Ovis aries: one gene and its partners. The protein of the gene in region 3 interacts with the protein of the main gene of each other region in a pairwise test. Links are inferred from orthologs where the notes say so. Each region holds a gene or a part of one and is shown on either strand. Other genes may lie near its edges. The genes, in order: HABP4, SERBP1, CHD3, YAE1, PTN, SIRT6 and IMMT.

Region 1 (4,827 bases), on a different chromosome or scaffold from region 3:
TTTACTAGCCCTTTCGAAATAAAAGGCTGGCATATGCAATCTGATCACTGATCTAACCCCAGCCCACATAAAGAGACAGAATACTGTAAAATTTACAGTACGATTTCCCTGAAATAAAGTTGAGCTTTGACTTGGAGAAGTTCTGAAAAGCCAGGAATAGCAAAGCTGAAACAGCCTCTGAAGAATTAAGAATAAATTTTTTGAGTAACGGTCTATATTGTTAAATAGTGAGGGATATTAAAAATCTATTTCTATGGGAAAATCTTATGATTTTCACATCCTTTTGTGACTGTTTGTTAATATGTCAAACTTGTTTTGACTTTGACTCTTGTCTACACTAAGCATTCACTTTTAATAGCCAAATAAACTTAAAAAATTTTAGTGTTAGAGAAGTACAGTCCATATCAATTAGGGTTACAAAACCTTAAGAGGGTAGCTCTCTAACACCCATTACAGATAAATTCAGTACAGTAACTGCACAAATGAAAATTAATGAGCTGTTTGCTCCTAAAATAACACACTTGAAAAAGAACTAGAACTACAAAACTTCCATTCTAACTACAAAATTAACTAAAGTTCTTTAATACAGATCTCAAAAACCAGATCACCTGGATTATAAACAATTGACAGAAAAAGTTATTAGCATACTACATTATAATGCGATGTTTATTTATTATGCTAAATGCAGGCTGCAACTGAGTTTATAACATCTGAAATTTAGGGGAAAAAAAGAAGTAGCTCTGTGCATTTATATGTGTAAATACAAAGTGTTAACAGTAAGAAAAGTATGCATTTTCACTTTACTTCATACACTTCTGAATTGTTTAAAATACAACAAAAATGCATGACAATTTTACTAGTAAAAAGGTTAAAAAGCAATATATTAACAGAGAAAACTAAATTCTGTTTCTCATGAAAAGATAATACATATTTTCACTTGTTAAAAAATAAAGCTTAGCCTGTCCAATTATTTTATTACTATGATATTTATCTAAATAGATTTAAGAGAAAAATAGAACATATACAAAATGTACAATATATCTCAAGTCTCACTCACTGTTTAAATAGGCTTATATATGTACTTGCCTATCAAGAAATCTTGGGATATCTCAACGGCACTTAAAATAATTGTCAATATTATAATGACTTAATTTTCTGATTCTCAAGAGATATTGCTGGATTGAACTCTGCACAGATAGAGGTAAACATTACCTAGCTGCAGAAGTCAGGGCACCAACACTCAAGTCAGGAATTATTCTCTCAGGACTGGGCTGACAATTTTTATCAAGTAAGCAAGGAACAAGCCAGTAAAGCCGAGTTGAATACACTCCCAAACACTGGCTGGAGTGGTCGAATCATGCATCTTAAAACTTTTTTCTGAAACCTTAGGACCACTATTTTATTTTTGGAAAACAGAGGAAACACAGGTGGAATCTTGGAGGCTTTACCACTGAAGCAGTTCAGGTGAGAAACGACTCTTCAGCACCATCCATGCCTAGATGCAGTCAATAGTACACCAAGCTTTGCACCGGCCATTCTGGCTAAGCAGGGAGTGGGGAACTTTGCATATTCTTGTTGAAAAGGTTAAAAACGCTTTTCTTAAAGCAGCCTGAGTTAATGACAAGTTACACAAGCCATCAACACTACTTGCTGTATTGAAAACCCGTGCGGGGTGACTGTTGTAAGCCACCGCAAGGGAGGTGGATGGGTGAAGGCACAGAGCTTGGAAGGCGCTGGGGACCCCGCGTCAACCCCCGCCGCATTCTGCTCGGGGCCCTGACGTCACAGCCCACCCCCGCGGTCACCCAGGCCTTCCCTCCATCACAGAGGCCCTAGCTCCTCACCCCGGCGATCCTTTCACACACCCCGAGTTCTCGCCGCCACCCCCAGGGGCCGGGTGCGCCCTCCTCCATTCTCCCTAAGAGGCACTCCCCTCCCTCCTTTCCACGACGCTTCTTTTCGCCTCCCGACGCGAATCTTGCAGAGGTTCGGCTGGAGGATGGAGAAGGTCCCTGCTAGTTTTAGATCTGAGAGCCCTCGGGCAACGACCCCAGTGTTCACCCTCATACACCACCCAAGAAATATCCCTCAACTTTGCCCAACTTGTAAAGGCTCAGTCCCACCGTTCAGAAACCCCCTACTCCAAGCCTGCACTCTCCTTCGCTCCCAGAAGGGACTGGGAAAGGCCAGAAGGGGCGTGACACTCCCCCTACCCTGTCCTTTTTCCCACCTTCCTCAGCCACTGGGACCCTCAACTTCGGTCAACTCTTCCCAGCGCCCCCTTCCCTTTCTGGAACAGGTTCCAGCGACCCCAGTCTCGCAGTAGCAGGTCCTGGGGCAGCCGAGGAGGAGTGACCTCCATGACCCCATTCTCCTTCCCCTCCCCGCCCACCGCGCCCACCCTGGGACACCCAGGTGCTGGGCTGGGCGCGCGTACCGGGCGGCTGCGGGCCGCCCCCTGGGCTATCTGGCTGTTGCGAGCTGGGGGCCGGGAGGCTCTTGCGCTCCTTCTGGGACTCCCTCCGGCCGCCGCCCGCGCCGGGTCTGTGGCCCGAGGCCCCAGCCGGGCTCCTGCCGCCGCGGTTGCCAGCCCCGGCCGCCGCCGCCGCCGCCTCGTCGCGCCTCTTGCGCTGCAGCTGCTGCTGGCGCCGGCGTTCGGCCTCGCGCAGGATGTCGAACGGGTCAGACTCATCGTCTAGCAGCTGGTGGAAGCGGTTGGCCACGACGCAGCCGAAACTCTCCTGCATCGCGGCGCCTGCGGCAGCCGCAGCCACAGGACTTCCCAGAGCGCCCTTCATGCCGCCGCGGCCACTGCGGGCCCGCCGCGGGCAGCCCACGCGAGCGAGTCTTAGCGAAGCCGGCGATGAGGACCCATCCTACCCGCAGCTACTGCCCTCCCAACCCTGCCCTGCCCAGTCCCGTCCCTCCCAGCGCCCGCCCCCGCACAGCCGCCGCCGCCGCCCGCCTAGCTGCTTCCCACCAGCCAATCAGCGCACGAGGGCACGCCCCCTTTCCTAGCCGGCACGCCTGGAAGCCCAATCAGAGGCCGGCTGCTGTCACGTCAGGCGACCTCTATGCCCCGCCCCACGACTCAGCAGGGAGGGGCTGGACCCAAGGGGCGGAGCTGCTGGGAGGAGCAACGAATCTTGTGGTCCAGGCTGCTGGGCCATGCTGGTGGGTCACGGCCGTCATTTGTGTTTTCTCTGAGACTGGGTCCACATTTATCATCTTCCACTCTTCTTTGAAGTGTATATATTGATTCGACAACTATATAATGTACACTTACTATGTGCCAGGTGTTATGTTGTAGGAGATACTAGCTCCCTGTTTCGGAAGATCTTAGTCTTAAGGCAGAAAAGTGCCCTGAAGGAAAGGCACAGACTTCTCTATGACCTACTTAAGAAGCTTGGAGAGGCTTTCCCGCGGGAATGACGGTTAAGCTGAGATATGAAGGATAGCAAGGGCCAGGAGTAATGGCAAGTGCACAAGTCTGAGGTGGGGTGGAAAGCTCAAAGAAAACCAGTTAAATGAATTGCTAAGAGTTGGGGAGCTGGCATCACTGATGCGATGGACATGAGTTTGAGTTGGCTCCAGGAGTTGGTGATAGACAGGGAAGCCTGGTGTGCTGAAGTCCGTGGGGTCTCAAAGAATCAGACACGACTGAGCGACTGAACTGACTGAAGAGTTGCTGCTGCTGCTGCTGCTGCTGGTGGTGGTGCTGGTAAGTATCTTAAGTCGTGTCCGACTCTGTGCGACCCCATAGACAGCAGCCCACCAGGCTCCTCTGTCCCCGGGATTCTCCAGGCAAAAACACTGGAGTGGGCTGCCGTTTCCTTCTCTAATGCATGTATGCATGCTAAGTCGCTTCAGTCGCGTACGACTCTGTGCGACCCCGTGTAGATCAGCCCCCAGGCTCCCCTGTCCACGGGATTATCTAGGCAGGAATACTGGAGTGGGTTGCCATTTCCTTCTCCAGACTGAAGAGTTGGGGAAGAGCCTTATTTTGGTCTTTATTCCAGGAGCAGCAGGAAGCAAATTTTAAGCATGAGCATGTGTTTAAAAAGGCCACCTTAGCTGTAATGTGAAGAACTATGTTGGTGGGAGGTCAAATTAGATGCAGGGAAATCAAGCTGAAGATTCCTACAGAGCTACATGGAAAAGGTGATGATAAACACTTGGAGTAGGATACTGTCAGTGGAGGTGAAAAGAGTAGTAGATCCAAGAGCTATTTTGGAGGTTATATCAACAGGACTCGATGATGGACTAGATACAGCTGGTGAGGAAAAAGAATTTGATGACTCCTGTTTTTCTGGCTCTTACAACTGGAATGGTGGTGTTATTCACAAAGAAATCATTAGAAGAGACCACTTTGATGAGACTCACAAGTGCAGTCTTGGACATGTTGAGATTTAAGGTTTTTGTTTTTGTTTTGTTTGTTTGGTTGGTTGTTTTATTCAGTTGAGGCCTTGAAGTTCAGAGGAGAACATGAATTAGACTTTCTCCAGGAATTCTTGCTTAGGCACTCATGGAGACACTTTTCTACACTGCCTATATTACAACTCTTCCTTTCCCTCTTACACTTTCCCAGAAATGTGTTTTGTTGGTGCATCAGGTAGCTGTTTGCCCCATTTGGGAACTTGGCCCTTTTCTAGCCTCAGACTTGATTAATCTTAAATCACTCTTTGTACTGCCATTCCCCTACCATGATTGCTGTAGGAATAGGCTTTTGGTGCAAATCTGGCCGAACAGACCTGAGGGGAAGTATTCTGGAGAATTTCTTAGAGGGAACTTTTTTTTTTTTTTTTTTGGTGGGATCTGCCATCTTTC
Region 2 (4,818 bases), on a different chromosome or scaffold from region 3:
TGTTCATAGTGATGCTTCCTAAGGCCCACTTGACTTCGCATTCCAGGATGTCTGGCTCTAGGTGAGTGATCACACCATCGTGATTATCTGGGTTGTGAAGGTCTTTTTTTGTACAGTTCTTCTGTATATTCTTGCCACTTCTTAATATCTTCTGCTTCTGTTAGGTCCATACCATTTCTGTCCTTTATCGAGCCCATTTTTTGCATGAAATGTTCCCTTGGTATCTCTAATTTTCTTGAAGAGATCTCTAGTCTTTCCCATTCTGTTGTTTTCCTCTATTTCTTTGCATTGATCGCTGAAGAAGGCTTTCTTATCTCTTCTTGCTATTCTTTGGAACTCTGCATTCAGATGCTTATATCTTTCCTTTTGTCCTTTGCTTTTCACTTCTCTTCAACAACATTTAAATCTTATTAAATACTGGAAATTAATTTATATTGATTCATTTCTATCAGAAGGCAGAGTCTGGATTAAAAAATTGATGTCAGGTGTCTCACAGTGGAGTTAGAAGACTGGAGTTAACTCCTGGCACTTAAACTGTTACAGACGTGAACTTGATTAAGTTATTTCAAATAGGAAATGGTTTCACCTGTGAAAAGGGAAAATTATTTACCTAATAAGTTGTTGTCGTCATTAAGGTTATTCATAGTACCTGGAACATGGAGATGCATTTTCTATATTCTGGTTAATAGGAAAAGGTTTAAAAATTATAATACATTCACCCTCACCGTGTTACCAAATATGCTTGAATATGCATGACACCCTTTTAATGGACTTTAATATTCTCAGCTAATACCAATGAGAATTAAAGACAATTCTCTGACATATTTCTCTCCCCTCACTGCACCTCTTAGCACATCACACATTCAGATGCTCTTCAGATAACATTTTAATGTTATTTCTTGAGTACCTTTTACTAACACCCAATCCTTGACTTGCCTGGCACTAATGTCAGCCTAGGCTCCATAAAGTGTTTCTACAAACAATGCCTTTTGGAGGCTTTCCCAGTGTCTGGCTAGTGCTACACCGCCAGGAGTTAACAATTAAAGCACCGGTCGCAAGACGGCACTTCTCATCCAAGAAAAGCGCGCAACACTCACTTTGCTAGTTCAACTTGTCTTTTGGATTAATTCTGCTGCTAGAGTTCAAGTGGCCGCGAGAAGAAGCGTATTCCGCCTCACATTAAACAGAGACGCTTCGATTCATTATTAGGGCTGCAGGAGGGCAACTGCAGCAACTGGGCAACTAGGGATTTGGAAGAGAGCGGGTTCCACTTCCGCGAGGCCAGTGCAATCTGCCAGCCCTGGAAGTTTGTGAGTCTCCACTTGTAAGACTGATAGTCACCTTGACCCTCCCGGAGAGGTGGGGAAAGTTAGTCCTGGGCCGGAGACGGGGAGTAAAACCGAAGACTGAGAACTTTCGCGAGCAAAACACGCCGTCACGTTTTCCTGTTTTCAGCGCAGCAGGAGACGCCGAGAGTTTAAGGGCGGCGATAGCAGGTGGCAGGACTCCGCCTACCACCGCGCTTCTCCCTCAGCTTGCACACCCCTCTCCCTCAGTGAGGACTCGCCTCTGAGGCGCGCGCGAAGAGTTGTTCAGCCGTGTATTCTGGGAGTTGTAGTCCTGGTGCCGGGAGCCGCCTCAGGAAAAGCGACTCTGGCCTACAGACCCCGTGGTACCGTGCGGCGCTGGCCGCTCCCGGATGTGTGCCTAGCGCCGGAAGAGAAGACAGCCCCCCTCTCTCGGCCCGGCCATCTTGTGGGAAGAGCTGAAGCAGGCGCTCTTGGCTCGGCGCGGCCCGCTGCAATCCGTGGAGGAACGCGCCGCCGAGCCACCATCATGCCTGGGCACTTACAGGAAGGCTTCGGCTGCGTGGTCACCAACCGATTCGACCAGTTATTTGACGACGAATCGGATCCCTTCGAGGTGTTGAAGGCAGCAGAGAACAAGAAAAAAGAAGCCGGCGGGGGCGGCGTTGGGGGCCCTGGGGCCAAGAGCGCAGCTCAGGCCGCAGCTCAGACCAACTCCAATGCGGCGGGCAAACAGCTGCGTAAAGAGTCCCAGAAAGACCGCAAGAACCCGCTGCCCCCCAGCGTCGGCGTGGTTGACAAGAAGGAGGAGACGCAGCCGCCTGTGGCGCTTAAGAAAGAAGGTAAAGCAGTGGTAGAAGGTGGGAGACACCCGGGATGGAGGGAAGGAGCGAGGAGACTTGCGGCTAACACTCGCTTCTGGGGCTCCGAGGGTTCGCGGGAGACTTGGCCACTGATATCCCGGCGTTTCCCTCAACGCGACAAAAGCCAGGTCCTGCGAAGGTGTTGGGAGCGTGTTAAGCCCAAGTTCAAACCGCCACCTGCAAGGATACTGGAACCACCCCTTCCCGCCTCAGGTCTGAGCCGAGAAGCGTGGTCGGGATCCTGGGAGGCTGCTGCCTTCCCGCCGGATTCCTTGGCGGGCGAGCGCATGGACCGAGGCTCGGTGAAGGGAGCCACTCCTCGGAGCACTTGTAGTGAAGCGGACAGCGGGGGCTCCGCGGCTTCTTCCTGCTCAGAGCTGCCCCCTCAGTCTGCTGCTCTGAGGTGAGGTTGTCTCCTTCAGGCTACTCTCTTGCCATCTTGTCCCAGGATGGCGCGGGGTACGCCCGAAAAAGAGGGTCGAGTTTTCTGCCCGCGCGCACACCTCTCCGCAGGCATGTTCGAACCGCTCGGATATTGTGGGAAAAGCTGCCCTTTTAGGTGCACACGTGCTTTATTGTCCACCCCTCGCCCCCTCAACTATTACAAACTTAATAACTTGCTGGAGTGACTCAAGCTGTTGGGAGAGGAATTTAGCCCCTCGGGATTGACCAGAAGCGGGAATTCTGAATGAAAACGTGTTGGCAGGAAATCCTGAAACTCGTTCTCGAGTCAAGATCTTTTTATCTACCCCGTCGAACCCCCGCGGACCCACCTCCCCACTGCACGCAGTGTTTCGTGTGGTGTGCCCCTGGCGCGAGCCTCGTGGCTGTCACAGCGGTAGCCACCGCTGAGTCCTTTTGAGTCTATGGCTTTTTCTCCCCATGTGCGTGAAGCGTGGTCGGGATTTCATTGGCGGGTAGTAGCTGCTTCCAGGTCATTGTAAACTTCGCGGGATTGCCTTGAACTTGGTGTTTGCACTCTCCCTCATTGCTGGTTTCTCTTTGGTGGTGGGTGAAAAAGCATAGCAGTGAGGAGTAAGGAAAAATCTTACAGATCCGAAGTAAGTAGGTGTAGGACCTAAGTTCTGAATCGTAGAGATTACCTCTGTGTGTTGAAAGTTGAAATTTTGCCACGTGCTTCAGAAAGGAGTTCTGAGCTTTAGTTGAATTTGATAGCTAGCGTTCAGCTAATTTGAAAATGAAAACAATTGTGTTAGGTTTTGGTTTAGAATTTTTAAGAAATAGAACGTTTTGAGGCTTGGGATGAAGAACCTAGGTGGTAAATAAAACAATTATATTAAAATTACAGGTTGGAGAGGGAAGCACACGTTGGAGTATTAGCATGCATCTTTGAGGCTAAATACTCGGCTAATCTTTATAGCAGGCTCTATAGGCTGTAGCACAATGTAATAAATCGTTTAATTTCTATGTTAAGGAACACTGACTTGTGTAGTCATTTAAACTGTGCTCAAGTTTACCTCCTGTATCGCTAATTCAAAGAAGGTACATGAAAAAATGGAATCTGAAATGTGTTCACTCGTTTTGAATGTTCAAAACATGAGGTGTGCTTTAAACCCCTCAGTTTGATCATAAAGTCCGTTTATGAAATAAACTTTTACCTGGAACCTAGTATTTTAAATTATAAAGTTATTTCATAAATTTATGAGCAGGATTACGTTTACCATTCAGTAGTCAAATTCAATAATTTCCATTATTAGCTATCAACATTTTCCTTAGGTCAGCATTTCAGAGGACACTTAGGCTTAAATTGCATAAAACACAGGTTATAAAAATGTTGAATGAAAAAAGTTCATTTTGAGAGCCTACTATGTAGCAATCATTTCTGGGCATTGGGGAAGTATAGACCTGTAAACAAAAGTCCTGGACTCTTGTAGTAGGAGGGATTGTTAACCTGATCATGTGTTCTGTGCCTTTGAATAGGGGTCCTGGCACAATCAGATATGCTTTAGGTAGGTATTTACTGTTTATATTCTATGAATTTTGTAGTTTATCTTTTGCCCACTTGAGGAATTTGAGAATGGACACCACTGAACATCGCTAAGGTCTATTCTTGTTTGTTTTTTCAATGTTGAAAGCCTGGAATATAGTGAAAAATCTAGAGACACATTTTTAAATGTCAGTTGCTGCGTGGATTTATTTGTGTTTTAGATTCTGTAAGCCTGATAACTGAATATTGGAGTGTGGAAGCAAGCCATTGTTCATCTGGGTGTGTGAGGCTTGGATATTATAAGAACTGGTTCTGTAGCTCCACCCCATACACTCACTACCTCTGAAGAAATTTTTTTAAATGCCTCGGTGTAAGGTCTAATGTTTGTGTCCTGTCCTGAGAGTTTATGTGGAACGGACCTTAAAATTTCAGAGTTTGACGTTTACCATTTGACTGCAAGCAACTGAACAGTTGGGTGCATCTTGGTGGCGGTACACTTTCTTAGAAGCAGAGTGAACCAACTTAATATCTTGTGAAATCAATTCCTCAGGTGACTGTCAGAAATTGTGGTTTTGGAATTAGAGCATACCTAAAATTTTACAGTCATAAATTTAACCATCAGTCTACGTATTATCCTTAAGGCCACCATGGGGCCTTTCGGCCTTTGACACAAACAGAAAAAAGGTAAGGAAGAGGGAAA
Region 3 (4,129 bases):
TTCAAGGCAGATCCGAGCGAGAGTTCTTTGTCAAATGGGTGGGCCTGTCCTACTGGCACTGCTCCTGGGCCAAGGAGCTGCAGGTACAAGGGTGTCTCTGTCCCGTCTCCTGTGGCCCCGTTCACTGCTGCTCTCCCTCTCTCAAGCACCTCTTCTCCTGTCTTCTGTCCCCTTTGCTTTCCCTCATATTAGGTCTCTGGCCCCAAGACCCTACCAGCTCTCTTAGCTTCCGTACTTGGGTCTCCTGGTCTCCAGTTGTCATTCCCTCAGTCTCTGTTAGATTCCTCCCCTGAGGCGTAATGGAGCCTTCCTTAGCCTGCCTTAATTCCCATCTCTTCCCTTTATCTATCTTAACCATGTTTTACCGACATCCCCAGTCTTAATAACCTGTTCCTTCCTCATTTTACTTATTACCTCCCCACTCAGGTCCTGTCTCGGACTCCGTTCTCTTGCATGTTACTCATTTTCTTGCTTTGACTTTAACTCTCTGTGTCCTTCATCCCACCGCTCCCATGGCTCATTTTCCCATACCATTACCCCTGCCGGCCACTGCCCCGGCTCCTTGTGTCCCCTCAGAATGTCGGGACTATCTCTTCCCTCCTCTGTGCCCCGCCAGCTGGAAATCTTCCACTTGGTGATGTACCGAAACTACCAACGGAAGAATGACATGGATGAGCCCCCACCCCTGGACTATGGCTCTGGTGAGGACGACGGCAAGAGTGACAAGCGCAAGGTGAAGGACCCGCACTATGCCGAGATGGAGGAGAAGTACTATCGTTTTGGCATCAAGCCAGAGTGGATGACCGTCCACCGGATCATCAACCACAGGTGAGCCCTTGGTCCACGGGAAGGCCGACCTGGGTTTTGTCACTGTTCTTGTTGCATGATGGCCCCACGTTAGATAATTGATCTAACTGGGTAATTCCCACCACAGCCCCAGCCTCTCTGGCTTTGTTTCCTCTATGGAGGTGGGAGAAACCAGGAGAAAAGTCCAGCCCAGCACGGACACCTTTGTCCTTGCTTCCTCTAATCTCGAACAGCTTAAGAAATGACACAGGAATCTGGGGATTTGGATGTGATAAAAGCAAAACATGACTTATACAGACCAATGTTTCTAGTACTTCTGTCTTCATAGTACTTATCATTACCAATGTTTTACTGTCTTTTTATTTTTCTGTTTCATCATGGTCTTCTCTGGTAGCATGTGAGCTCCATGGAAATCAGTCATTTGTCTGCCTAGTTCTGCTGAATCACCTATGCCTGGAACCATGCCTGGCATGTAGTAGATGCTTAGTAAATATTGATTGGATGAACAAATGACGTTAAAGTTGGGGATGTTTTGTGATAGTTGATTTTTAGGAAGTCATCTGGAAAAAGTTAGGGTAGTCCTTCAGCCTTCTAAACTCGCTTTCAGAGGCCCACCATTGAGGATTAGGTGACAAATTCTGTGTGTTAACTGATAATTGTGTTTGTTATGACTCTTTTCTACTTGTGACACATATTATTTTTCTCCTCCTGCCTCCTCTTCTGGCTTCCCTCTTCACAGTGTGGATAAAAAGGGGAATTACCACTATCTAGTGAAATGGAGGGACTTACCCTATGACCAGTCCACATGGGAGGAAGATGAAATGAACATCCCTGAATATGAAGACCACAAGCAGAGCTACTGGAGACACCGGTGAGTGAAGCAGATCGTGAGTTAGAGGGCGTCTGACGGTGGGGGCATTAAATGAGGTGCAGACTCAGTCTAGAATTTAGAGTAATGGGATCTGGGGCTGGGTTGTTTGCAGTGGGGTCCATAAAGAGGCAGTGTGAGGAACAGAGATAAGATCTAGCCTGACTCATGGGGAAGAGGATGCTGAGGAGTGGGGAGGATGGTCTCTAGAGCTGAAATCCAAGGGTGAGGCTAAAGAACCTGGGAGCAAGGAAATGTATGAAAATCCAGATTATGGAAAGTGGGAAGTAGGTCTGGAATTGCTTCAGAAGACAGGGGTCCCAAGGCATCAGTCTCACTCAGACCCACTCTTTTCCCAGAGAACTAATTATGGGGGAGGATCCTGCTCAGCCCCGCAAGTATAAGAAGAAGAAGAAGGAGCTGCAGGGTGATGGGCCTCCCAGTTCTCCTACTAACGATGTAAGTCCTCCACTTGGCCTATCTGTCATTTCTGGAGCCTCAGGGTTGAAAACTTCCTGGGAGCTTCTGACAGATCCCAGAGATTCCACAGCTTCTTTGAGCTCTTCCTTCAGTTAGCTTTGCCCTAGGTTTACTGGGGACTTGCGCACAGGAATGAGAGTCTCCAGAGACAGCTGTACACAGGCCTCTTTTGCCATTTCCTTCCCTGCAGTACTCCCAGGTCTTGATTCAAAGAATGAGGGGGAGGCACTGCAGACTAGAACTTTCATAAGCTCAGGCCAGAGGAGAGGGACTCACAATCCCACTTGATACCAATGCCAGGGACGGGGAGGAGACCAGGACCAGATGAGTGGCTGCTGGTTCCCCTGAGCTTTCTGATTTGATTCTACAGCCTACAGTGAAATATGAGACTCAGCCACGCTTCATCACAGCCACAGGAGGCACACTACACATGTATCAGCTGGAGGGATTGAACTGGCTACGCTTCTCATGGGCCCAGGGCACTGATACCATTCTGGCTGATGAAATGGGGCTGGGCAAGACCATACAAACCATCGTCTTCCTCTACTCACTCTATAAGGAGGTGCTGGCTCCTAGGGCCCTAGCCTGGACTGGGGAAGGTGGGAGTGGAGGGTGAGGGCAGAGGACTAGGGGAGGGGCATGGCAGGCAGTGGAGTGGGGTGTACAACTGCAAGCCTCAACTAATGGGGCTCCCTCTCCCCACCTCCCACTCCCAGGGCCACACAAAGGGTCCCTTCCTGGTGAGTGCCCCGCTGTCCACCATCATCAACTGGGAGCGGGAGTTCCAGATGTGGGCACCCAAGTTCTATGTAGTAACATACACGGGTGACAAGGACAGCCGAGCCATCATTCGTGAGAATGAGTTTTCCTTTGAAGACAACGCCATCAAAGGTGGCAAGAAAGCTTTTAAGATGAAGGTCAGACTCCCCACCTCATGCCCTCTGAAGTCCTCAGATCTGTCATTTCATTGGCCCAACCAGAACTTTCTTATATTCCCCATTCAGCTTTCTCCCTCCTTCCCCCACCTTCCCTCATGCCTCTGCTCTCCAGTACTGGAGATGTAGCAGGTTATTCCCTGGGGCACTCATGGATCTCTTCAAACTGGACAGGTGGGGGAAGCTTGAGGGCCACATCCTGTAGTCCCTGAATGGAGTCAAGGTTGGAGGCCTGGACTACCAACTGCCTTTGGGAGTCTCAGGACAGGGTGTCTGGGTAGAGAACAGGGGTGGGGGTCTAGATGCTCGGGTGCAGGCTGGCAGCCACAGGGACCATGGTTGTGTCAACAGAGGGAGGCACAGGTGAAGTTCCATGTTCTCCTGACATCATATGAGCTGATCACCATTGATCAGGCAGCTCTCGGCTCCATCCGCTGGGCCTGTCTCGTGGTGGATGAGGCCCATCGGCTCAAGAACAACCAGTCCAAGGTGAGTGAGGTACCCAGGCCTCAGAAACTTGAGGCTCTGGACTTCTACTTGCCCCCATCCTAAAAGACAAAGCTTGGGGGACTTTGAGCAGCCCCGGAGGCAGTGCAGGGAGAAGTCCAGCTTGGAAGCAGGACAGAATTAGGGGTCTGAGGGCCTCTGATCCTGAAGGAAGTAGGAGCTGGAGGCAGGAAGAGCCAAGGGCCAGCTGCTTGCCACTGATGGACCCTTTCTCCTGCTTTTCCTTGCCCCATTTTCTAGTTTTTCAGGGTCCTCAATGGCTACAAGATAGATCATAAGTTGCTGCTGACAGGGACTCCATTGCAGAATAATCTGGAGGAGCTCTTCCATCTACTGAACTTCCTCACCCCAGAGAGGTTTAAGTAAGTGGTGGCTCAGGAGGGTGGTCTGCAGAGAGGAGAGGTGGAGGAGCTGAGAAAAGGAGTGGGTGAGGAGTCATCTTAAGTGAAGACTAGAGCCTGAGGTCAGGGGCAAAGAACCTAATGCCCGTTCGTGGTTTAATTTCCTTCTGGCTACTAGCAACCTGGAGGGC
Region 4 (4,760 bases), on a different chromosome or scaffold from region 3:
ATTCAAATGTTATTTAGGAAGATGCTTATGTCCAATATTATATTTAAATTATAATTTAAATTATTGGAGTAACTTATTTATTATCAATTATATTGGATGATTAGTTTATTAAGGTTTTTTGTTACAAAGTGTCACAATGTTTTTATATATTCCATGGACCTACCAAGTATTGCATATATTTTTCATATATTGAATATATACAAAAAATTTTCTCTGAACACTTAAAATGGTAACATATACTACCTAACTGCCCTCACTCACACACATACCCATAGCTCTCTTTACTTTGCTTGTTTCTAAATATTTTTCCATAGCATGTATCATAATCTTGTAACAAACGGTATAATTTACTTATATAGTGTTTATTACTTATCCTCTGGCAATTCCTCATGAATGTCAGAGCTGGGACTTCTGTGTGTTGTTCACTGATGTATCTCAAAAGCATATAACAGTGCCTGGCACAAGGCAAATATTCAAGAAAATTTGTTAGCTAAGTAAATCATCATTACCACATGGGCTTCCCTGGTGGCTCAAACTGTAAAGAATCCGCCTGCAACGCAGGAGACCCTGGGTAGGGGAGATCCCTTGGAAGAGGGAATGGCTACCCATTCCAGAATTCTTCCCTGGAGAATTCAATGCACAAAGGAGCCTGTAGAGCTACAGTCTGTGGGCTTGCAGAGTCACACAGGACTGAGCTATGAACACACACTACCACATGAGTACGCAAAGGGCCAAACAGGAATACTGATGGTATCTACTCATTCATTAACTTTTGTTTCAACACCTACTACAATTCGGAACAGTGCCGGTGCTGAATTTTTTTTTTTTAATTTTTTAATTTTTTTATTTTTTTACTTTTAAAATCTTTAATTCTTACATGCGTTCCCAAACATGAACCCCCCTCCCACCTCCCTCCCCATAACATCTCTGTGGGTCTTATATAAAGACAAGTCTCCATCCTCACCAGTGGTCTTTTCTGGCATTTCAGAAGGAACAGGAGTCAGACAAGGATGCTGTGAATCAATGAGAAATATATTTCGTTTCATAAACGCTCTCTATATTTACTGATCTCAATAGGGCTGCAATATTTTAACTTCTTTAATGTCCTTTGTTCCACGCTCCTAACAATTGAAACAGTCGGGCAGTCCAAACCTTTAAATGCACTGAAAGAAAGAAAGCTCAGTCGTGTCCGACTCTTTGCAATCCATGGACTGTAGCCTACCAGGCTCCTCTGTCCATGGGATTTTCCAGGCAAGAGTACTGGAGTGGGTTGCTATTTCCTTCTCCAGGGATCCTCCTGACCCAGGGATTGAACCTCGGTCTCCCGCATTGTAAGGCGGATGATTTACCATCTGAGCCACTAGGGAATGACGGAGTGCCTCAAAAGAACTACCTCAAAGGGTTTTGCCAATGCACGCGTCTTCAAAACCCAGACCCCAGCAGACACCACGGTAGAAGAGCACAGTGTTTCACTGAATGCTGGCGCTGCCTTCCGCAATCAAGGTCAGAGGGGCTCCGCCTGGCCCACAAGTGCACGGCGACATTTCCAGCTTAGTTATGGGTACTTCCAAATATCAGGGAGCAAAAGCCTCGAGGGGAAACCAGGACCTTCCTGGGACCGGTGACCACTCCGTGAACCGGTCACAGCGTTCAGACACCACGCACATCTACGCGCACGCGCAGCGGTGCCGCGAGCTCCGCAGTCTGTCTTCGCTCCGCCCCTCGGACCGGAAGGAGTTGCCGGCCCTTCCGGCGTCCGGCAGCCCGGTGGTTGCCTCAGTGATGTCGTGGGTTCAAGCTGCTTCTTTGGTCCAAGGTCCTGAAGAGGAGGGGGACGTGTTTGACGAGGAAGCTGATGAGTCGCTCCTGGTGCAGCGGGAATGGCAGAGCCATATGCAGAGACGAGTCAAAGTAAAGCTGCGTGGAGAGGGCGGGGGTCCGTTGCTGTACCGGGTTGTTAGCGCTGGAGCTGGGAGTTGTGAGAAGGTGGGGTCCCAGGATGAAGGCCGGAGTGGTCGCGACCTGGCCTGGCGCTGCCCTCCCTCTCCCGTACCATTCAGTCTGGCCCATGTCCTGCTAGAGTTTCCCAGTGGGTTACTTGAAACCGTGCTACACCACAGGATGCTTTCCTCGAGCGCCCGTGGAGTGTGTTGGATGGACACCGGGGACCGAAAAATATAACCTTTGTCAAAGACTTTGAAGAGATTTCAGTTTGATGGGCATCAGAGGAAAAGGGGTGGAGGAGAAACATTTACACTGTTCTAATTATGTCTGTCAAAGGACATGTAGGCAGTTGACATGGGTTGCTTGAATGAGTGGGGAGCCTAAAGTTAGGAGTAGTGTTAATCAGGACAGATGGAAAAAGTGAACTTAAGAATGCTGTCAGAGGGCAGTAAGAGAAAGCTAATAAGGAATGGAGTCACAGAGTCAGACAAGGCTGAGCGACTGAACAAAATAAAGGAATGGTGGTGGCTACCTAAGGGAGTATTAATGTATTTTTTTAATTTGTTGGGTGTGAATTATCCATATCTAATTTGTCTGACTCTTCACTGAGTCTCAGCTTAATACCGCACACCATTTCCAGGTGGAGCTTTCAGAGCTTAGTTCAGGGTGAGGACCAAATGATGAGATCTGTGCCTGCTAGTGTCCTTGCCAACCATTAAATTGCCATTAAGTCTGCCCTTGTTTAATGTCTCAGTAAAATAATATTTGCTTAGCACAACAACAATGTTGTCAACTTCAGAAATGCCTTATGTGAAGCTGGGGCTAAACCAGTAAATATTGAGCACCTTTTGAGTGTTGTGGCAGGACAAAATCCTTGGGCACAGAGGATTTTCAGTTTACTTAAATTAAGGAAAATTTCTAAATCAAGCAGAATTTCTAAAACCAGCCCTCTCATCTTCCTTTTACTATACCAATTTCCTCTTTCCCTACTCCAGTTCCAAGACCTTGGTAACCCTGCCCTGCCTTATCCACTCACACCAATCCAGTTTCTAAAGGACCAGACACCTAATTCTCCATGTTTCCTTTCTGTGGAGCTATTGCTAACACGGATTTTTTTTTTTTTTGTATATATGTAGAATCAATATTTTAAAATGTGTCCAATAAATCTAGACTACAAAAATGGGATAAGCCAACAATAAACTTTTATGAGAAGCATAGTCTACTTTGGTTGTGTGATTATGCCATATGTTATAGAACCATGATGTTAAATAACACAATAGAGGCCTGTTTCATCAGTTTCTAAATTGGTTCTGTGACTTTCTAGAAAAATCTACACTGGTTTACTTGGTGTTAAGTTACAACTGTAATTCTTCATTACTTATATTTAGGAAGGCTACAGAGATGGAATAGATGCTGGCAAAGCAGTTACTCTTCAACAAGGCTTCAATCAAGGTTATAAGGAAGGTGCAGAAGTCATCATAAACTATGGACAACTTAGAGGAACATTGAGGTAATTTTTAAAACTTAAATGCTGAATTATTTTAACCTTTGTACTAGTGGAGGGTTTTGATGAAAGTAATATGTAAGAAAGTGTAAGCTGAACTGCTTCCCCTAGTGTTAAAGCCATGAAAGGGTACTGCAGAGCATAGACTAAAATTGCCTTCAAAAAGTCAGCAGTTATCCACTTTAATATGTGAGCCAGATGTTATCTTTTATTGCAAAGAAATGATACAAAGGTGTCTTCTTTTTTGCTACCTGAACTACCACCAATCTGTATCTCAAAGTAATTGAAAAAATCTTCAGGTTTTGGGTAACGTTTTTATTCTTGCACATGTGGCAGAACACAATAAAACAGATGTCTAGACTAGCGATACCTGATGAAGAGTATAGCTAGTAACAGAAAAAGTATTCCATTTACTTTGTTTCTGAACGTTGAACACCTGTCAGGATGTCATAGGAATAATGGCATGTATTAGAACCAAGTGGTCCAAAGGCACATGGAGCTACGAGCATGGCATGCTTGTCCTCTTTGATGCTTTGTACCTTTTAACCTGTCCTCTATAGAGAAAAACATAAATGCTTCAAAGAATCACTGATTTTTACAAGGTATGCAATAAAAGTTAACAGGACAGAGACTTCCCTGGCAGTCTAGTAGTTAAGACTCTGCACTTTCAATGCAGGGGATGCAAGTTTGATCTCTTATCAGGAGATGAAGATCCCACATGCCATAAGATGGCACAGCCAAGAAAAAAATAAAAATTAAAAATAAAATTAGAAAAAAGTTATCAATACAAAAGTTCATTACATTTGAGGTTTTATAAAATTCAGCTGTCAGGAATCAGCATTTATAGTATACTATAGTAAGAAAATGATCATGTGTTCATCTTCACATCAAGTTAAATTAATTTTTTATAAGCTTAGAAAACTTATTGCAGGGTATCTGCTGGCAATGCAGTGGATTTGGACTTCATGTTTTTATTTTCGAGGCCTGCGTTCAGTCCCTGGTCTGGGAACTAAGTTACCACAAGCTGTGTGACATGGCAAAAAAAAAAAACCTTATTGCTAACATTATTACTTTTCACAATAACCATTATTTCGTGAGATGAATAATATGAATGTAGGAAAGTAAAAGTACTATCTATACTAAAAAAAAGTAAAGAAAAATAATTATTAAGACTGGAAGAATTCTAACCTCCTTCAATAAAATTGTTAGTAAAGTATCTAACAAAGTTGGAAAAGTGAGTTGTCTCAAAACTTTTTTTCCCCTCACCTTCAGTTTTGATGTCAAGCAGCTATACGGTTATAACAGTGATTTT
Region 5 (4,129 bases), on a different chromosome or scaffold from region 3:
TCTGTATTCCCATCACCAGTGTGCATGATCTAGTTTCTCCTGTATCCTTGCTAGCACTTGATGTTATTTCTGACTTTAGCCATTCTTATAGGTGTGTAGTATATAGTGATGCCTCATTGGTTTTCATTTTTATTTTCATCATGGAGAAAAGATGCTGAACATCTTTTCACATGTTTGTTTGCCACCTAGGTATCCTCTTTAGTAAAATGATTGTTTATGTCTTTTGCCCAATTTCTAATTGGATTGCTAGTTTTGAGAGCTCTTTATATATTCTAGACATTTATATATATAAGACCTTTAAACCACATTTTTAAGACATTTTATGTATAGATCTTTAGTTATATACAATTTAAGATCAAACTTATCTGAATTTCACTATGCCTTTATAGACTTTACCTCCACTTATGTAAAGTTATAACCCCAAAGGTTACAGAGAATGAAAAAGATGTAGTGTATGTATCCATTACCCTTCTTCACTGTCCAGTAGGCCAAAACACATTTCTGTAACCGAGTGAGAATACTTAGGGCATTGTGTCCCACTATGGCAAGAAAGACAAGTCTAGAACGGGGGGGGGGGGGTGCAGAAACAACAGGCAATTTTGGTGTTCAATGGTGGGTTTAGGGTCAAAAGTGTTGAAAGACTCCTTCTCAGACTGGGAGACGAGGTCAGCATGAAACTGGCAATAGTCACTGAGCTAAAATCTAACAGTGGCTCAGAGCAGTCCATCTGGGTTTGGTGAGTAAAGAGCTATGAACCAGTGTGGCAAGTGGGGAGGGAGCAAGAGAAAGAGAGAAGGCCCAGAAGTAACAGAGAGAGAGAGAGATCTGGAGAAGGAGGAGACTAAATAAGAAAAGAGGAAGGGAAGATAAAAGGATCTAGAAATAGAAGGACAGAACACACTGTTAAGAGGGACCGAGGGCCTATTTTCTGTCCCTGCTGCTAAGGCAGTGGTCTCAATCAGGGACTACTCTGACCCTCTGCCCCCGCCCTGAAAGGAAACGTGAAGCAACATCTGGATACTTGCAGCTGTCACAGTTGTTGAGGTGGGGAGTGCCACCAGAAACTAGTGGGTAAAGGTCAGGACTGCAGCTAAATATCCTATGCACAGAGCAGCCCTCCCTCCAGGACAAGAAAACTATCTGGTTCCAGATTCTAGCAGTACGCAAAACGAGGGACCCGAGGTTGGGCGAGATGCCAGGTTATCTTGTATTTGATAAAATAAACTTGTTAAAATAGAGTCAACCTCAAAAAGATACCCGATGGAAGGATGCAAGAATTATCTCAGGGTGGAAGATTAAATCAATAGGACAGTAAGGGTGGGACTCACCGCCAAATTGCTTTTTCCAGTTGCAGGGGATCTTACATCTCTGGGTCTTCATGGTTTGTTTACACTCAGCTCCGGTACGGGTGCCCTCACGGGTGCCCAGCCCACAGTCCCCACTGGTGGGTACACACACACTCCACTGCCATTCTCCACAGTCAGACTTCTTCACCTTCTTTTCTGAAAGGGAAGAAGGAAAAATTATCAACGCTCAGAAAACTCTTCAACTCCTGGATAAAACCAAGTTCATTCCTGAGCTCCTTAATTGCATGGCCTGTGATTTTACCTCTCTCTTCAGTGTCTAGGACAGAGTAGAAACTCGGTAAGTGTTAGCTGAATGAATGACTGAATCAACCAATGACCAGGAGAAGTCAGAAAGAAAACTAGGGAGCTAGAACTAATATTGATTTAATTCTTACTATGTGCCAGGGACTGCGCTAAGTGGTTTACTGACACACCTCCTTTTGGAAGCAAATGTTGCTGAAAAAGAGAAGATGATCAAAGTCAAGTTAAATCTAAACAATAGGAAAATAGTCTATGAAAATTAACGATTGTCAGATTAGTCATTCCAATGTATGTCAATGCTTCTTTCTCTGTTTTATAGATGGAGTGGTGGTTGTGGTTTAGTCACTAAGTTGTTTCCGACTCTTGCGCCCTCACAGGCCTGCCAGGCTCCTGTCCATCGGATTCTCCAGGCAAGAATACTGGAGTGGGTTGCCATTTCCTTCTCCATGGGATCTTCCTGACCCAGGGATCAAAACCAGGTCTCCTGTATTGCAGGCAGATTCTTTACCAACTGAGCTATGAGGGAAGCCCATAGATGGAGTAACATAAACTAAATGTGGTAGACCACAGACGTAACAGAGTCTCAGCTCCACAGCCAACTTATGACATTGCAAGTGACATGGAAAAGGTGCTTTATTCCTGCTAAGATTCAGTTTCCTCCTTTGTTCATGAGATAAAACAAAATTTGCTTCCAGGACTCTTTTCGAAGAAGAATATCAACATAAATTAAACATTTGATTGCCAATCAATTTTCTGAATGATGTAGCTGTTAATAATTATTATTTCAATTAATAGTTAATGGTCACCATCTATATTTCAGGACTTAGAGTGGGGGGATGGGATAACAGGGGATATCACTTAGGTGTTCCTCTACATACTTGGAAGAAAGGAAAGTGGGAAAAAGGGAAAGAACGAAAAAAGAGGGGGAAGGAAGGAGAAAAGACAAAAAAGCAAGCAGCTGGATTAGATAGATATTAATCAATGAAGACTCTTGTTCATAACCATATTGCTCACCTGGTTTCTCTTTCTTTCCTGCTTCAGTGGTGCCCACAGCTGCCAAGATGAAAATAAATGCCAAGAAGGCAGCTGCAAATTTTCGACGTTGCTGCAGGTACTGTGGAGTCTGCATTCTAAGAATAAACAGAGAAATGGAGAAGGTGGTGTCAACCTAAGTCAAAGAAAGCTCGCTGAACTTCTTGATGAAGGACTCCAGTTTCCATTTCTGAAATATCAGATTTTAGGAAGATTTATATCAATTATATGGAGCAGAGTTCAATCTTTTCTCCAACAGCCACTGAAGTAACTGCTCTTCTGCAATCAGGCATGTATTCACTGATAAAATACAACAGTCCTTCACATAAGACTTCACACAACCATTTGCTAAGTATGACTCAAGAGCAATGGAAGCAAAAGAATTTTGATGGTATGCATTGGAACAGACTCCTACAGTAAGTCCTACTGATAGTGACACTTGGTAATGGCAATGACTGTAGTTATCCTTATAACTCCTGATGATTCCTAAAAACAACCATGGTGTTTTCATCCATGCATATAATGTGAGCGGACACATGAATAGATTAGCTGTGCAAGTATATGTTTGCTGTTATCTTCAGATGCATCCGTAATGATCAATACCTCTCATTTTGTTTTATCATTTCCATGATCATGATTGTCTTATCATCATAGTTGTATTATTCATTGATCCACTGAAAAGTGAAGCCCAAAACAGAAGCAGAGCTAACACACCTTCAATATACAGCAAAAACACTTCTAAACTCAAATGTACTGAAAATCCTCCAAATTCTAGAATGGAGTAAAGGGTTTACATTTACTCATAATTTGAAATCTCCACATTTGATATCAACAAAAAAATATCCCAGGACAGCATTAGCAAGACTGCCCTAGAACTTGAAGTCACTTGTGACAGCATCATGTCAACATGATCGCCTTGCCAAGCATACTGGGGAAGGCGCCAGGACAAGTGCCAGGACAGCCCACTTCTTGAAGCTATACCAAGTCATTGGCTGCAGTAACTCACCTGGTAGTCATTGGTCTCCATCTAGTATGTTCCTGATATTCTATACTTCATATAAAAATGATAGTAATGGCATTGGCTCATTAACTCAGAATTTCTCTTCCAGAAGTGTAGACTGTTTACATGATTTTACATTCTCATGAATGTAAACAATAAAACTTCACATATATAAGGGACTAAGATCACTCTGTTCTGTAATTTCCTTTCTTCATTCAAGCCTATCTATAAAATGATATCCTTATCAGTGAATTTTTCTCCCTTTCTGTAACACTGGAAATGCCCATTTTACTGCTTTTTAGTTAATGACTTTGGATTCCATTATCTGGATGAATATTTCATATTCATCATTTAAAGTTAATATTTTGATCATTTGGTCCTTTCCCTGAATCATAAGTCCTAATTAGCAACTCAGCATCTCCATCACTTTCTAAAATCTAAAATTACATGCTTTTACTTTCTCTAAATGTGTATATATATATATATATAT
Region 6 (3,460 bases), on a different chromosome or scaffold from region 3:
AAGGAAACAGGGACACACACACAGACTGATCCCTGACCTGGACAGATCGATACACACCAGGCCTCAATAACTACCCCACCCCCGGCCCTGGGGACTCCTCCCTGTCCGCTTGCACGCACGGAGTAGAAAGCAGCCAAGTCTGCAGGGACCCTGGCCCCAGAGCACGGGGTGAGTCCTAAACTTCTGCGCTGCCATGACCCACAACCTTTTCCTTTTTTTAGACTGCCGTGATCCTTAATAAAGTATCTTGGCAGAACACGGCTAGCGTGGAGGTGGAGTGGGGTGGGGGCTAATTAGAGTCTGAAGCTCCCCAACCCACAGAAGGAAGGACTGGGCCAGCCGAAGATAGAGGAGTGACGTGGGGGAGTCCCTGGACCCCAAGGCTGGATCGGCGACGAGAGGCGCCAGGGTTGTCTTCAGGACCTTGGAGAGCGGCGGCTGATGGAGGGCTGGGCGCGCCAGGAGCGCGAGGTTCTGACGGCTCTGGCCCCTCCCCGCCCCGCCCCAGACCCTTCAAGAGAGTCCGCGGAAGGCCTGGGGCAGCTGCTTTCCTGGGGGGCTAGGCTGCCAACCCGGCTTGTCTTATGGATGAGGAGACTGAACCGTCAGGAATGAAGGGACTCGCCCAAGGTCACAGCTGGGGAGCATGGACCCCAGCTGCACCAACGCTCTTCCTTTAGAGTCACACCCGGATCCCTGCCGGCTTTGCGCAGGTGTGGGGATGTGGGGTCGGGTGGGGGAATTTGCAATCGCGATTAGATGTGGCCTCTCTCCTAGAGGGGCTCACAGCCTAGTAGCAGAGGGCACGGATTAAAGAATCACAGAAACAATATTTACAAATGGAGGACTCAAGGAATGTCAACAGCTGGTAAGCCCTTCCTTCACCGCCGGGCCTGGACTGTATGAATGTCCCAGCACACACACACATATCAGGGGCCGCGAGCACCACACAGTCCTACCCCCAGGGATTGGACCCTGGGCAAGGTTGTGGATGGTAAACACAGACTCAAGATGCAAGAAAGTCTGCTTTTATTGCATTGAAGGCTTTTCTGGAAGCCTGGAGGAAGTCAGGTGGACCCACTTGCCTCCTTCCAGCCACAAAGGCAGTGTGAACCTCTGTTGTCTGTCCTGCCATGAAGTTTGGCTCCTAAATGGTGGCTGTGTGTCCCCTCCCTCCTAGAGGGGCTGTGAAGGCTGTGTGGGGATAGGCAGGGGCTGGGGAGTGTGAGGGTCCAGGGGGCAGACAGGCTTGATTCCTGTTTAGGTTGGAAATCAGGGAGGGCCTGGTCACGCCTCCCAAGAACACCCTGAGTCAGGGGCTGGAGACGGGGTGGAGCAGGTGTGGGGTTGTCAGCTCCAAGTTCAGAATCTGGGGCAGAGATGCTCCTTGCCAAGCCCCCTCCATAGGCCCCAAGTTAAAGGGAGGTCCAGTGGACGGCAAGTCTGCCCCTGGGCCTGGAGCCCAGCTCTCAGCACCCTGAGGTCTCCCCCAAAGGACAGAAATGAGTAACAAAGTGAGACTGGTAAGAAAAAAGAAAAAGAACCCACGGTTTCTATTAAAAAAAAAAAACCCGCCCTCCCCGGGGCCCCTGGTCAGCTAGGAACCACCTCTGTTTTCACTCTTTTGGGAGGCCTGTGAGGGGCAGGGCTGTCCGGCTGCTCCCTTTTGGGGCTGGTGGGTCCGGAACCATTGTGCTGGGTGCAGGGCTCAGCTGTGGGTTCCTGCTTGGGGCTGGCGGGCACTGGGCTGTCGAGCTGGGGGGAGGCCTCCTCCTTGGGCTCCAGCTTGGGGGCAGGTGGGCGTGGCAGGGGCGGCAGTGCCCTCTCCACCACGTGGGGGCCGTCCCAGGCCGGGATCTCCAGGCCCAGGTGTTTCATGAGCCGCGTCATGACCTCATCAACATAACCGTGGATTCGCAGGTCTGCGTGGCGGTCCTGTGGAGGCGGGGAACAGTCAGGTGGAGGGAGAAGGCTTGAGGGGGGTCCAGGGGTGATATCAGGGATAGGCTTCCACACGTACATGCTTGGTGGGCTGAAGGTTGACGATAACCAGGCGACCTCCACGGCGCTTGGTGGCGAGGGGAAGGTTCCCGCTGGGCCGGATTTGCAGGGAGGTGCCCAGTGTGATGGACAGGTCTGCACTCCTGGGGCCAGGAGGCAGGATTAGTTTAAGCCCCTTGGCAAGGATCTCTGCAGCCCTCCTCCTGCCCCACGAGGCAAGGGCGTGTGGTGGCCAGCACATACACTCCCTGACCCTTGCTCAAACACCATGGCTTCACTGCTCTGCCAACACAACGGGGCCAGTCCCGGGAGACCTGCTCACACAGCACCCACCTCTGCTGGGGGCCCAGCCATGGCCTGCCTCTGACACTTCCCTTCTGCTGGGCCACCCCTCAACCCTGTCAGCAGAAGTGGAGCTGCTAGTGGGGAACTCCTGGGTTCTGATTCTGGCTCAGTCACTTCTGGGCTGGGCAGCCTGGATGGAGGAGTCCAGTTGCTCCAGCCTCAGTTTCCTCCTCTGTAAAATAGGCCTGAGCAGCACCCACCCTGGGATGTGGTGAGGATGGTATGTGAGGGCTCGGCACAAGAGCTATTATGAGCAAAGCAAGGCCCAGACGGTGCTGATCACTCCTTTCGGGGCTGGAGCTGGCTGTGTTTCTGCCCCTCCCCCCCCCCCCACCCACCCGGGACCCACTGGGGTCAGACCTGCTGGCCTCGTCGGCCAAGGTGAGGTCCCGGTCAGGCAGGGAATCCTCCCAGTCCAGGATAGTGTCTCTCAGCTCCCCCCTGTAGGGAGGGCGGGGGAGTTAGCAGGAGACTGGTGGCCTCCCCTGGGGTCCAGGGCATGGGGAGGGGTCACTCACCTGCAGGCCCGCAGTCCCCTGGACTTGGCCACGGTGCAGAGCCGGCCCGTGGGTTTTAGGCCCATGCTTCCCACCACGGTGTCCCGGACATACTGCCTGTGCCGAGGAGGAAAGGGTCGGCTCACCGCTGGTTTCCAGGCAGCCCACCTGGGCAGCTCATGCAAAAAGCACACAGAGCTGTTTTTCCAGGAAAGTGCGGGAGCGTAAGACCAGAATCTAAACATGAGGTGACAGCTGGCAAATGCAGCAGGGGCTGGGGATGGGGAAGCAGAGGGGGCCTTCCATGAAAAAGCTGGCCTGGGGACTTCCCTGGTAGGTTAGTGGTTAAGACTCTGTAGAAGGAGAATGGTTCTGCCAACACCTTGATGTTGGACTTGTAGCTTCCAGACCCATAAGACTATGAATTTCTGTTGTTTTTAAGTTACTCAGGTTTGTGGTTGTCTCGGCAGCTGCAGGAAATAAACACACCTCCCAGGAGGAAGATACACGCCCAGATCCCACCGTGGAAGGGCCACACCCTTGACTCTAGAAGTGGCAGGCTTAGTCACCAGGACCTTTTCGGGAGCCCGACCTGGGTTATCCATGACTTGTGTCCC
Region 7 (4,129 bases), on a different chromosome or scaffold from region 3:
TAGAGAACCTAATAAATCTCAGGGATCAGGATTCTGCATCATCAATAAAGTTATTTTGCCATCATGACTGAGGTTTTTAAAAGTTAAATACACTTTACATTGCTTTAGGCATATGCACATATATCACAAAGCAGTTAAATTATACTTCTGTTGCAAACAGCCAAGAAACTACAGCCTTGGAAAAATTAAAAGAAGATTCTATTTATTTAAAGTCCAAGAACAAAGCTTAAATCTTAAAAGTTCATTCTAAGAAACCACACAGGGAATATTTAATATACTGATTATATACATGTGAGAAAGCTCAAAGTTGCATGATATCAGGAAGTTGAGTGTGAACCCAAGTTCTTTCAGAAGGACAGTGATTAGAAACTTTAAAATGTCAATGGTATTACTTTGGTGGAAGGCTATACATAAGAGGGTATTTCCTCTCCCCACTGAACATATAACATGTGGTGCATGTCGCTTGAACAGTACAAAATCTATTATAATTTAGATTTTACAACTAAAGGATACCTTATAGTATAAGTTAACCAGATTAGGCAAAGTTAGCTGGTGTTAACAAAATAATCCAGAAAAATGTACGAGCACAAGTTTTGGAATGTTAAAAATTGATCCCAACTTTGTTTCTTCTAGTAAAAAGCTGTAGGTGCATGTAGGCTCACTCTATAATATATACTGAGTTACTTTCTAAAAGGCAGTGCCTGTAAACAGTTGGACCAGAGGATTGTAGGGGAATCTGGTGTCTGTTTTATAGGACAGCTTATCTTTGGATCTCTACAAGTGGAGGGAGATCCATTTTGGCCCCCAGATATGTTATTGACACTTAACATGATTCATGAGTCTATTTGGGTTAGTTACGAAGAGTTATCCTAGTATGATATCAAGGTCTTGTAACAGCATACAGTAAGGTCTTGTAAAATTTTTTGCACATGACAAGATACTGACATGGCCCAAACCAGCATCCTTTCTTTTTTTTTGTTAGTAATTGAAAAAACTTATTTATTTTTGGCTGTGCTAGGTCTCTTTTGCTGTCCAGGCTTTTCTCTAGTTGTGGCAAGCAGGGACTGCACTCTAGTTGTGGTGTGTGGGCTTCTGTTTGCAGTGGCTTCTCTTGTTGTAGAGCTTGGGCTCTAGGGCGTGCAGGCTTCAGTAGTTACAGCCCAGGGGCTCAGTAGTTGGTAGCTCCTGGGCTCTGGAGCACAGGCTTAGTAGTTGTGGCCCATGGGCTTAGTTGTTCCGAGGCGTGATCTTCCCAGACCGGGGATCGAACCTGTGTCCCTGAATTGGCAGGTGGATTCTTAACTGCTGGACCACCAGAGAAACCCCAGCATGCTTTCTTGATATATTTTATTTTGCAGGATGGATAGAGTGGTAGTTTACCTAAACCTCAACTTGATTATTTGCACCATGAAATAACTTTGTTTTGTTACTTTACAACAATCTATGTAAAACATAAAAAGTTCAAAAGTGAGATACAAAGGTAAAAAAGTACCAGGTATTTCTTCTAAAAGCAGTTCTTAACCTAGGGTCAAGTCTGGATAGAATTCAGGGGCTCATTAAACTTGGATGGAAAATATCTTTATTTTCACTAGCCTCAAAAGCTTTTCCTTCATTTATTTATATTGACAACAAAAGCAGTAGTGTTAGTAGTATTCATAACTTTATTACCAAGAGAGAGCGCAAGTATTTTCCTATCACATTATGGGTACTTACAGACTGTTGAAATATCATTTATGCTCATCACTACTTCTAGATTAGAGTATTTATTAGTCCTGCCACTAAATCTTGGTTTGTGTGTCAAAGAATTAAAAAATACATATTTTTTAATCAAATTTCAGTGTAATTGGGCTCCTTTGTAATCTCGTAGTTTCATTTTAAGCATTTAAAAATGTTATTCAGAGAGGCTTCCTCAGACTGTCACAGTGGTCCAGTGGCCAGGTTAATCCTGCCTTAAGGAACTTGGTTGTTTAAACTTTCTGTTGATAATGAATATACCTTTAAAATGAAGATCACACTTGATGTCAAGGGGAACGCATAAGGTTGAGAATTGCTTGTGAATGATCCAAAGCAGAGGCATTACTGAGTCCTCTTCCCCTTCAAGTAGCAGGCCTGGGGCTCAGAGGCAAAACCACTTGTGTTTCTGACAGTGGAAGACACAGGATGGTCATCCAAGGCCCAGGACACCTAACTCAGAGGGCACTCATGTTTTGGGTGTGCAGCAGCCCTTGCAGTGACTCTCTTTGGTGACTTGTGAACTATAATTATTGAACTACTGTAGTCATTTTTTCCTTGACAATAAATATTTTATTTTCTGATAATTTAATATGTTCCTGTTTTTCACCAAGGTCCTGGTATAGTGTATAGTCACGCATCAGTATGTACAGGGGATTTGGGTCTAGTATCAGCCAGGGATACCACAGTTCAGGGATGCTCAATTCTCATAATTGGCCCTTCTGCATCTGAGGATTGAGCCAGCTATCTATTGTGTAGTACTCTGCTGAAAGAAGATCTTCATATAAGTGGTCCCGTGCAGTTTAGACCTGTGTTGTTAAATGGTCAGCTGTACTTTAAAGATAAGCCCTAAGGTGGTTTTGTCATATCTAAACATAATACACTACTTTAACCTATATCTGCTTGGCAAAGGAAAGGGAGAAGGAAATGTCATTTAAAATAGTTAATAACTAATTTTAAAAGTAGTTTTAAAGAGTTGAAACTTGCAGATAGCATCTTGCTCATTGTTTATGTGATGCAGAGTGAGGGGGAGGATGGAAGCTGGACTCATCTGTGCCACACCTTCAGTTGCAAGGGTGCTTACACGTCTCTTGTGTGAGCCTCTTGCTTCATAGAGTGTGATTATTCTGCTAGAGGTGGCTTTTGTTTTTGGTATGATACATGCCGTAAATATGAGCCAGCTCTGCTCAGCTGAAGAAGGTGGCAGTCAGTTCCAATGCTGGAGCAAAAAATGTTGAACCTGCCTTAAGGAATTTCCAAGGGAGACATTTGTATGAAGTCCACATTGTGTAAAACCAGCTCAAAGTGGAGTGGTGTTCTTGACAAGACTTGATTTTCTCCTTAAAGATTATGGAGAGTCATTCTTGGGGGTAATGTTTTGGGGAAGTAGAAACCCCACAAGTGTGTAAACTTTTTATTATACTTACTAATATTTCAGTAGACCTGCAAGTAAGAAAATTTTAAGTACTGATGCTTCATTGAAGAAAGATTTAATTCACAGACAGTTCGTGACAAGTTGTTCTTATTCATCTTTTCTGCTTCATATCTCCTTTTGAGAATCTAGTAAAAATATTCTCTCTCCTTATAGTATACTTGTGCACTGGAACACACTCTTACAGTTTTGGTGGGTTGGTTGATGGGAGATGATTCATGGACTTCTTTGAACCTCTCATGAACATTAGATTAAGAGTTCCTGTTTGGGAGGAATGTTATATATACTTTTTTAACCTTTGACTTTCTGTATTTAGTCGTGTTATTGTGACAGTACTAATGTTTATTCATGTGTTCATAACTAAAGCTTTTTGTTTAGATTGCAGGTGACAAGAAATCAGCTCAGTGGCGCACAGTGGAGGGTGCATTGAAGGAACGCAGAAAGGCAGTAGATGAGGCTGCTGATGCCCTTCTCAAAGCCAAGTAATTACTCATGGACTTTGACAAGTAATTAGGGCCTCCTGGTGGCTTTCTTTTGGCTCTGTTTTCTTTGTACTGTCTACATAGAAAGAGGAGGCAGAGAAACCCTTCCCTTCTCCACCTATACTGTATTTTGGTTTTAGGAACATGAAAATTTAAAAGGAAGAGAGAGAATAGAATATATAATCTGGCCAAAATAAATGTGGCAGAAACTTACTTAACAATTTTGTATTTTATTTGCAGTATTACTTAGGTGATATGTCTATGGTTTACAGAGATTCTGCCATTATTTCAAGGTTTTTCTGGGATGGGTTGAGCAGTTTTATAAGAATTTAAGGAGTGTGTCACACTCTCTTTGCCTTAACTACCAAAGTAGTTAGCATATAATAGGTCTAGTTTTATGCTACCTTGACCTTGATTCCTGAAAGTTGGCTAAAACTAGAATCAAGCAAGCAAACCAAATATGTTCAATCTCTGTCAATAGGAA

Evidence for each region.
Region 1: the proteins of CHD3 (region 3) and HABP4 interact in a two-hybrid assay, tested with the Homo sapiens proteins (3 studies listed by BioGRID and IntAct). The link is inferred for Ovis aries from reciprocal best matches to the Homo sapiens genes CHD3 and HABP4.
Region 2: the proteins of CHD3 (region 3) and SERBP1 interact in binary tests that used the Homo sapiens proteins (3 or more experiments, as listed by UniProt). The link is inferred for Ovis aries from reciprocal best matches to the Homo sapiens genes CHD3 and SERBP1.
Region 4: the proteins of CHD3 (region 3) and YAE1 interact in a two-hybrid assay, tested with the Homo sapiens proteins (2 studies listed by BioGRID and IntAct). The link is inferred for Ovis aries from reciprocal best matches to the Homo sapiens genes CHD3 and YAE1.
Region 5: the proteins of CHD3 (region 3) and PTN interact in a two-hybrid assay, tested with the Homo sapiens proteins (2 studies listed by BioGRID and IntAct). The link is inferred for Ovis aries from reciprocal best matches to the Homo sapiens genes CHD3 and PTN.
Region 6: the proteins of CHD3 (region 3) and SIRT6 interact in a two-hybrid assay, tested with the Homo sapiens proteins (2 studies listed by BioGRID and IntAct). The link is inferred for Ovis aries from reciprocal best matches to the Homo sapiens genes CHD3 and SIRT6.
Region 7: the proteins of CHD3 (region 3) and IMMT interact in a two-hybrid assay, tested with the Homo sapiens proteins (2 studies listed by BioGRID and IntAct). The link is inferred for Ovis aries from reciprocal best matches to the Homo sapiens genes CHD3 and IMMT.

Annotation. Positions count from the first base shown.
Region 1 is NC_056055.1:29,718,378-29,723,204, forward strand, and holds the start of HABP4 (intracellular hyaluronan-binding protein 4), read right to left. Parts: upstream 2,900-4,827; 5' UTR 2,799-2,899; coding exon 2,438-2,798; intron 1-2,437. UniProt on the Homo sapiens protein: Ribosome-binding protein that promotes ribosome hibernation, a process during which ribosomes are stabilized in an inactive state and preserved from proteasomal degradation.
Region 2 is NC_056054.1:43,070,021-43,074,838, reverse strand, and holds the start of SERBP1 (SERPINE1 mRNA-binding protein 1), read left to right. Parts: upstream 1-1,750; 5' UTR 1,751-1,836; coding exon 1,837-2,149; intron 2,150-4,818. UniProt on the Homo sapiens protein: Ribosome-binding protein that promotes ribosome hibernation, a process during which ribosomes are stabilized in an inactive state and preserved from proteasomal degradation.
Region 3 is NC_056064.1:27,395,277-27,399,405, forward strand, and holds part of CHD3 (chromodomain-helicase-DNA-binding protein 3), read left to right. Parts: coding exon 1-83; intron 84-616; coding exon 617-828; intron 829-1,546; coding exon 1,547-1,678; intron 1,679-2,034; coding exon 2,035-2,134; intron 2,135-2,525; coding exon 2,526-2,717; intron 2,718-2,871; coding exon 2,872-3,072; intron 3,073-3,441; coding exon 3,442-3,579; intron 3,580-3,837; coding exon 3,838-3,959; intron 3,960-4,116; coding exon 4,117-4,129.
Region 4 is NC_056057.1:82,948,492-82,953,251, reverse strand, and holds the start of YAE1 (protein YAE1 homolog), read left to right. Parts: upstream 1-1,761; 5' UTR 1,762-1,782; coding exon 1,783-1,986; intron 1,987-3,332; coding exon 3,333-3,454; intron 3,455-4,760. UniProt on the Homo sapiens protein: The complex LTO1:YAE1 functions as a target specific adapter that probably recruits apo-ABCE1 to the cytosolic iron-sulfur protein assembly (CIA) complex machinery. May be required for biogenesis of the large ribosomal subunit and initiation of translation.
Region 5 is NC_056057.1:102,353,098-102,357,226, forward strand, and holds part of PTN (pleiotrophin), read right to left. Parts: intron 2,738-4,129; 5' UTR 2,737-2,737; coding exon 2,622-2,736; intron 1,503-2,621; coding exon 1,329-1,502; intron 1-1,328.
Region 6 is NC_056058.1:17,667,489-17,670,948, reverse strand, and holds the end of SIRT6 (NAD-dependent protein deacylase sirtuin-6), read right to left. Parts: intron 2,961-3,460; coding exon 2,865-2,960; intron 2,788-2,864; coding exon 2,707-2,787; intron 2,145-2,706; coding exon 2,021-2,144; intron 1,936-2,020; coding exon 1,594-1,935; 3' UTR 1,013-1,593; downstream 1-1,012. UniProt on the Homo sapiens protein: NAD-dependent protein deacetylase, deacylase and mono-ADP-ribosyltransferase that plays an essential role in DNA damage repair, telomere maintenance, metabolic homeostasis, inflammation, tumorigenesis and aging.
Region 7 is NC_056056.1:58,066,984-58,071,112, reverse strand, and holds part of IMMT (MICOS complex subunit MIC60), read left to right. Parts: intron 1-3,541; coding exon 3,542-3,645; intron 3,646-4,129. UniProt on the Homo sapiens protein: Component of the MICOS complex, a large protein complex of the mitochondrial inner membrane that plays crucial roles in the maintenance of crista junctions, inner membrane architecture, and formation of contact sites to the outer membrane.